Linked DNA regions of Ovis aries. The protein of the gene in region 2 purifies or fractionates together with the protein of the main gene of each other region. This does not show direct contact. Links are inferred from orthologs where the notes say so. Each region holds a gene or a part of one and is shown on either strand. Other genes may lie near its edges.

Region 1 (4,326 bases), on a different chromosome or scaffold from region 2:
TCCTTCCCTCAGCATCAAGCCTGTGGCCTAACCCATACTGGTGCCAGGCACACTGTGAGTGCCCTGCATTTAGCACTTACAAGTGGAACACAGGTATTCCTCCTCCACTGTATGAACGAGTTAGAAGACAGGCCTAGAGAAAGTAACCGCCTGGAAAGACCATCCAAGTTTGTACTCTAGAGCTATCACTCTTCAGATCTGCTTGATCTGAAGCTCCTAGCCCCTCACAGAAGCTCCCTCATGGTTCCCTAGCCACATGTATCCAGAGCGCTCTAGTTCCGGGGGGGACGTGAGAGGGGTCTCACCATCAGCCGGGCGTGGTTGATGTTCCAGGTGAAGGTGGTCATGGTCTGGTTTTGTGGGTCCACAATAGAATCCTCCAGGATGTACACTGAGTGAGCAACATTGGCAGGAAACAGTCGCTCAGCCCAGCGGGGCATCCTGTTCGTCTTGGTCAGGAGTCGGCGGGACAGGAGCTTCTGGTCAGAGGTCACCTCTCGGTGCACTATGTCTTCCGTCAAGACATGCTTGCTGCAGGTGTCAGGGTGAAGGTGACCCTCAGGAGCCTGACCCTGGGAGACTGCCTGCTGAGGTTCCCATCTGGAGCCTCCACGCTCAGAATGGCCAGGCCTTTTCCCAAACTTTCAGAGTAAGCTGTGGTTGTGGCTCAGACCTGAACTGGAGCCTTTGAGCCTCTCCCAGGGCAAATTCCAACTCCCGCCCCCTCGCTGACCTGGATTCCTGGGCATTCCAGCAGGGGTGGACCTCCTGATTTACTGCACCACTGGAGAGCAGTCAAGGGCAGAGAAGCAGGCAAGCGCCCAGACTTCCAACCCCAAGATCCCTCCCCAATTCCTGTGCTGCTTCCTCTTCCTGTCTCACCACACTGAGATGAGAGAACCTTAAGACTAGGGCTTCAAGTAATCCACTGCCCAGGCCCAGCCTCCTTCCAGTACCCTGTAGGCCTAGTCTGGCCGCTTACCCGATAGGGTTCTTCTGCCCTAAACATGGCCAGGCTCTGGAGATCCCCCGACTCAAAGTCGAGTCTTTCCCGGCCCCCAGACTCCGATCTCCAAAGAGCGAGGTAGGAGGGTTGCTCTTCCCAGGGCCACGTACCTATAGGGATTCGGGTACCGCTGCCAGAAGGCAGCGAACACTTGGTCCCAGGAACTCCGGAGCACGCTCTGGCCCAGGAAATACTTCACCATCGTCCCGGCCGGGGCGGGCTCAGCGCCCGAGCAGCATCAGGGGTGCGGAGCCCGAGGGGCACGCGGAGGCCGGGCTGGAGCTCGACGCTCAGCCGCCAGGCTAGCAGCAGGTCAGTCGCTACAGCGCCGCACCCGACCAGCCACCGCCGCCGCCGCCGCCATGAGGAATTATCGGGCCGCGCGCCACTTCCGGCTCAGCAGTGAAGTACCCACCTCTTCCGGTGCCTGCCCACGTGACCCGACGACCCCGCCCCCACACTCTCCTTCCCCCTACACCCCTCTCCCCTTCCCCGGCCCCGCCACCGCTGGAGTCGCGGCGCTGCGGGCCGGAGCTGGGTTGGAGGATCCCCCTGGCTCGGTGGGGAATCTGTGCCGGCGCGGCCTCTAAGCTAGGTGGGCGAGCGAGCGGCAGAGCGAGCTAGCAAGTCGGGCGGCGGCGTGCGGCGCCGTTAAGGGCGCTGCCCCGCGCGCTCCCAGGCCGCCCCGGGTCCCAGGCTCTTAGGAGGAGAATTCCTGGGCCCGAAAAGCGGGGGCGGACGGAGGCGTTGTCATCGCTCAAGCTCGTTGCGGCGTGTGGAACCTTAGGTTGGCGCCTGGGGTCGGGGACTGAGGTTAAGGGCGCTGCCTGTCGGAGCGGAGATCCGGGTTTGCCTCGCGCCCCCGCTCAGGACCCTGACGCGGGTGAGGCGGCCCCGGGAGCATGAGCGGGCAGCGCGTGGACGTCAAGGTGGTGATGTTGGGCAAGGAGTACGTGGGCAAGACGAGCCTGGTGGAGCGATACGTGCACGACCGCTTCCTAGTGGGGCCTTATCAGAATGTGAGTGCTCCCGACGGGGCCCAGCACGGGTGGGAGGGGGCTAGCCGACACGCGAGGCTCTGATCGCTTCCCCTTGGTTGCAGACCATTGGGGCCGCCTTCGTAGCCAAGGTGATGTCTGTCGGAGACCGGACGGTGACTTTGGGTATTTGGGTAAGTTCTCTGGGCACGTAATCTGGGAAAACCCACTCTTGAGGAGGCGTAGTTCCTGCCTTGTACTGACTTGTGGGCTCACGGGGGTTTCTGTTCTCTAGACCCCAGTTTAAAAACAGGGGTCTGGAGGACGTGATATTAGTTTGAAGTCGTGGGGAGTATACCTTCGTAACTCAGGCCAGGGCTGAGCCTCCCCCTGCCCTTCAGGACACAGCAGGCTCTGAGCGCTATGAGGCCATGAGCCGAATCTACTATCGGGGCGCCAAGGCTGCCATCGTCTGCTATGGTAAGAAGAGTTTTGGCCTGTTGCTCAGACAAGAAGGGGAGGGTGCCAGGCTGGCCTTATAGAACAGCCCCTCACCCTTGGTTGTGTTTCCTGTGTTCCACACCAAGACCTGACAGACAGCAGCAGCTTTGAACGGGCAAAGTTCTGGGTGAAGGAACTGCGCAACCTAGAGGAGGTAGGTGGCCTGACCTCACCAGAAAACCAGGCAGGGGCTGGCGGTCTGGTGGTCCAAGGGAAGTGACCCTGACCTGTCTTCTGCTCCAGGGCTGTCAGATCTACTTGTGTGGCACCAAGAGTGACCTGCTGGAGGAGGACAGGCGGCGGCGACGAGTGGACTTCCACGACGTTCAGGACTATGCAGACAGTAGCTGCTCCTTAGCTCCTTGGGTTGGGGAAGGAAGGGGCTGCTTGGGTGGGTCACAGAAAATAGGGGCTGCCTTGGCAAGATCCCCCACAGGAAGACTTTCTCTGGCCTCCCTGCATCTTTCAGAAGAGTCCCTGTACGGCTAGTCTGTGCCCACCTAATTCTCAGGTATGAGGCTTTAGTCTTTTCTCTTTACAGATATCAAAGCTCAGCTCTTTGAAACATCCAGCAAGACAGGCCAGAGTGTGGGTGAGTGCTGTCCTTGGCCTCACAGCAGAACACACAGGGGCAACAAAGGAGGCAGAGGAAAGCCCAGAGGGCTGGGTTACTATGGGATCCCTGGGCTCCTAGCATCTGGTCCTCACTAATCACCCTTTTTCCTGCCAGACGAGCTCTTCCAGAAAGTGGCCGAGGATTACGTCAGTGTGGCCGCCTTCCAGGTGATGACAGGTGTGTCCTTCCTTAGCTCCTGTGGAGACTCCCTTCAGGCCCACAGCACCTGACCCCCACCCCCCGGAAAGTATGTTGAGCTACCACCTCTCTCTTTAACAGAGGACAAGGGCGTGGACCTGGGCCAGAAGGCAAACCCCTACTTCTACAGCTGCTGTCATCACTGAGTCACCACTCACTTGGCCTGGGGGGGGATTCCCCCAGGGAGTCTGGACCTAGCTCTTGTCTGGGCTTGGATGATCAAACATCTGAGCTACCTGGGTCCCAGTGGCAGCAGAGGTGGCACCTGCCTGTGCTGGCCCATGGAGCGGAGACAGCATTGGGGCTGACTGATGGGCACAAAGAGGGTAAGGGCTGATTTGGACCCCAGGCTTCTGCCCTGGACAGCAGTTGTGTCTACAGATTATTTAAATGGCTTCTGATTTGTAAATAAAATCAATGCACTGTGAATTACACTCAACCCCTTTCCCTGCTGTCTGGATTGGGTGTCAGGACACCTAGGACTTTCTGGGGCCACCTGGTTGGCCTCACTTCCTATAATCAGTGTTCTTCTCAGGTCTTATTTTCCTTTGGAAACCAAGTGGCTTCACCCTAGGGTTGCAGCTGAGATAATGGAGAAGCAAAAGGGCCCTTGCTGGGTTCTTTGGTGGGGGCAGAGATAGGGTGAAAAGCTGGGGTTGGGGCAGTGCAAAGCTCAAATGGTTCCTTCTTGGTGTTAAGAACTGGAAAGGCACTCAGGTGGTACCAGAGATCAAAAGGTCAAGCATTTCTGCCTCGGACTGGCTGGCTCTACTGCACCTCTGTCACGTCTAGGTCTGTGAGTCATCCCTGTGGCTCAGAGCCTAAGCTTCCCAGCAGCATTCTATAATGTGGCTTAATAGTAGACAAATTACAGGTTCTGCAAGACTTAGAAAGGTCTTAGAGATCCAGATTGGGCTCTAACTACCCAGAAAAGGGACTCAAACTTGGCTGTGTTCTCCTTTTAAAATGAGGTGACTAGTACCTAGTTCAAGACTATGAAGAGTATGGTTGGAATGTTAACTGTAGGA
Region 2 (3,559 bases):
TACCTGATCGCCCATGGCTTCTTCAGTGTCTACGGCATGTGCGTGGACACACTTTTCCTCTGTTTCTTGGAGGACTTGGAGAGGAAAGATGGGACGCCCGAGAGGCCTTACTTCATGTCTCTCACCCTCAAGATCTTGAACAAGACCAACAAGAGGCAGGCGGAGGCCTAGAGGCCCTGCCCCCACCCTCCCTGGAACTTTCGTGATGTGTGCTGGGCAGCTGGGTCAGAACCCTCAGCCCATCGGGCTGACCTGAAGTCCTATCACTGCCGCCCCCTTCCTGCCCCACCCATCATCCAGTTACCACCAGGGAACCTGCAGGATTTGGGGCATCACCTCCCTATGCCAAGGGCCAGTCGCAGTTTTCTGGGCACCTCCCCCCCTCACTATTTCACCCCCCACCAGCCAGGATGAGAATCCAGGTGGGGCTTCTTATTATCCAACATGTGGGGCCTCTGTGGGCTGCCCTGTGGTTCCTGCCCCCTCTTACGACAGGACAGTATTTGTGTCTGCAACAGCGGTGGCTGCAACAAGGCCACTGTAACCTGCATCTGCTCTGGCCAGGATGCCAGAACCCTTTCTCCAGGCTGAACAACTGGCTACTGGCCACTGCAGGCATTTCTTTATTTTTAAACCTGGACATGCATTAAAGGGTCTCTTAGCTTTTTCTCTGTCTTCACGGCTGAGATGGGGCCGCTAAAGAATGCTTATGTCCCCTCCTTGGGTGTTGCTGTGTGTACCCAGGTAGGGGTGTCTCCTGGCCAGGGAGGCAGCAGCTGGGGTGTCGATGGGGTGGAGAAGAGGGAGGTAGGTTGTGGGGGCAGGGAGGCTGGGGGTAGGCTGGTGGGGAGGAGGTTGGTAATAGCGGCAAAAATGGAAACTGGCTGGCTGGCTGAGTCGGGCCGAATTTCCCCTTTTCTCTGCCACTTATTGACACACCTCTCTTTGTAAGAGACATAAGAAACTGAATCCACCCAAGGGATGATTTCGAAGAAAGGGGGGATGGGGGTAGATGCCTTGGGCAAATGGGCACCCCCCACCCCCAGTCTCCTCGCTTTGAGGATCTTTTGCCAAATGTGTTGAATTCAGGGGAACTGGTGTACCCGTTCTCCCTTCGCCATATCTCAAGGCCCCCCATATCGATATGTGATCTGGAGAAGCCCCAACCTGGGGTTTCTGTCTCCTGTGCCTACCTGCCCCCCTCCCCCATTCTGTCCACACACCCCTATGTGTAACTGCATTCCAACCACTAATAAAGTGCCTATTGTACAGTGGAAAAAAAAAAAAATCAAGCCTCCAAAAGTTCAAGATGAATGGTCAATAATTTAACTGCAAACTCAAAACAAAATCACTCAATCGCAGAAAGAATCCAGCATCTCTACAATGTATACCAATCAGTATGTGCAATATGCATGGTATAAAATATAATTTTATATAAAGATTACTAAATGCAGGGAAAAAAGAAAAGCGATCAAAACAGATGCCCAAATTACTGATGTTAAAACATGCGGGGAGTTAAATGCAGCTACTATAAAAATGTACAGAACAAATATGCTTGTTCAAAGATCTATGCTCAAAAATATTACATATTCATGAGTCAAAATTAACAAACAGAAAACCTCACCATAAAAATGAAAACTATATTTTAAACATGGGAATTCTAGATCTATTGAAAAAACTTAAAAAAATTTTAAAACTCACTGAATGTGATTAACAGCTAATCGGAAATAACAAAATGTGCACAACAAATGAACACATCACAAAATTTCACAAAACAAGCTCATGAAAAGGTGATCAACATCAGTCCTCAGAAAATGCAAATTAAAATTATAAAAAGATAGCATTTCACACCTGCTGGAAAAGACTGACAATAGTGAATGCTGGCAGGGGTGTGGAGCAACCGAAACTCTCACACCGCTAAGTGTAAGCAGAATGCTACGACCCCTCTGGAAAGTTGTTAAGCAATGTCTCATCAGATGAAACATACACATGCCATTCTCGACCAGCAGCTCCACACCTGGACATGGATGTACCCAGAAGAAGTGGCAACTCAGCTCCATACACACTGTTACACAGAAGTTCATAGTAGTTTCATTCGTAACACCCCAGAACTTTTTGAAAGCTACTTAGATGTCCATCGACAGGACAGTGTGACATATTCACACAATTCACATAGTGGAATACTACTCAGTATTTTTTAAACAACTACCAGCACATGCATCAATACGGATGAATCTCAAAAATACTGTTAAGCAAAAGTGAGCACATATTCCTTTCATATAAACTAAAAGGAGACAAAAGTGATCCTTGGTGATAAAAATTACAAATGCAGCTGTTACAGTGGGGGTTGGGTGACTGTGCGGAGATGCAGCTCAGGATCAGAGGGGTTTCAGGACAAGGTTAAAGATGGGCTCTCACCGTGCAAATCCCTGTGGCAGTTCTCCAAGGCCGTAGAGTGGATAAAGGTATGGGCTTTTGCCGTATCTTGCCAAAGACTCGCTGTAAAGTTTAATCCTATTAATGGTTTCACAACATGGCTGATCTAAATAGCTAGACAAAAGGAAATGAACGTTAGAAAGCACTCTGGCTTGCATTCTTCTGCTCAATTTAAAATCGTTTTCTGAAAGGATTTCAATTCCACACTTCCATATTTTACTTATAAGGCTCTAACACGAAACTGAAGTTAGAAACTTCTTTTTCACAGTATAACATAGCTATGTATTTGTTTTGTTAGAATTTCCACTCTGCAGAATTGGGAAATTCAGTGACAATTTCAAGAAAAAATATAAATCTAAAAACCAGAAGACTTACTCATCAGTTCTGTAAAGTGCCAGGGCATGACCAGTAAAATCTATAACATCTTGGCCCAAGTCAAATTTCTTATACACCTCTCGCATTGATGTCTTCTTAGGATCAATGCCCTCAAAAGTTCGAGGATCGTTCTCATCAAAGTTGGCGACATATACCAGGAATTTTCTGAATCGACGTTTTTCAAACAGCCCCATTAGGCCTAAAAAAGAATTTTTCAAAAAGACACACTCGCAACAGGACACTGAGGAAAAGTAAGTGTGAGAACAAAGTCTAAATATCCCATGTTTCTATCTTAGGCTCTTACAATGCAATGTGCAATTTAAAATACAGGAGTTTTAAAATAAATGAAATTTCTTTCTTAACCATTTCTTTAAAATAAACTGACAGTTTCGTAACACTTTGAAATACACTGTCGTAATTATTTAGTCCCTAAACTGTGTCCGACTCTTCTGTGACCCCACTGACTGTAGCCCCCGGGCTCCTCTGTCCATGGGATTCTTCAGGAAAGAATACTGGAGTGGGTAGCCATTTCCTCCTCCAAGGAATCTTCCCGACCCAGGGATAGAACTACAGTCTCCTACACTGGTGGGTGGATTCTTTACCACTGAGACAACCGGGCTTCCCATAAATAAAACAGATCAGCTATTAAGTCTTCAATTCTACAATACAATTACAAGTAATTATGACCCATAATTAATTAAATATAACAAGTTTAATTATATTAGGTACAAATACAACTTTGAAAAAC

Evidence for each region.
Region 1: the proteins of GDI2 (region 2) and RAB24 purify together in Homo sapiens (affinity purification with mass spectrometry; 3 studies listed by BioGRID and IntAct, with this or other methods). This does not show direct contact. The link is inferred for Ovis aries from reciprocal best matches to the Homo sapiens genes GDI2 and RAB24.

What each region holds. Positions count from the first base shown.
Region 1 is NC_056058.1:36,477,117-36,481,442, reverse strand, and holds the start of RAB24 (ras-related protein Rab-24), read left to right. Parts: upstream 1-1,500; 5' UTR 1,501-1,908; coding exon 1,909-2,025; intron 2,026-2,108; coding exon 2,109-2,177; intron 2,178-2,384; coding exon 2,385-2,463; intron 2,464-2,570; coding exon 2,571-2,638; intron 2,639-2,727; coding exon 2,728-2,827; intron 2,828-3,025; coding exon 3,026-3,076; intron 3,077-3,214; coding exon 3,215-3,277; intron 3,278-3,379; coding exon 3,380-3,444; 3' UTR 3,445-4,326. Other genes in the region: PRELID1 (PRELI domain-containing protein 1, mitochondrial), read right to left, coding at 306-531, 1,117-1,208.
Region 2 is NC_056066.1:42,499,556-42,503,114, reverse strand, and holds part of GDI2 (rab GDP dissociation inhibitor beta), read right to left. Parts: intron 3,011-3,559; coding exon 2,812-3,010; intron 2,551-2,811; coding exon 2,419-2,550; intron 1,270-2,418; exon of another isoform or gene 172-1,269; coding exon of another isoform or gene 1-171. Other genes in the region: choline transporter-like protein 2, read left to right, coding at 1-171. UniProt on the Homo sapiens protein: GDP-dissociation inhibitor preventing the GDP to GTP exchange of most Rab proteins. By keeping these small GTPases in their inactive GDP-bound form regulates intracellular membrane trafficking.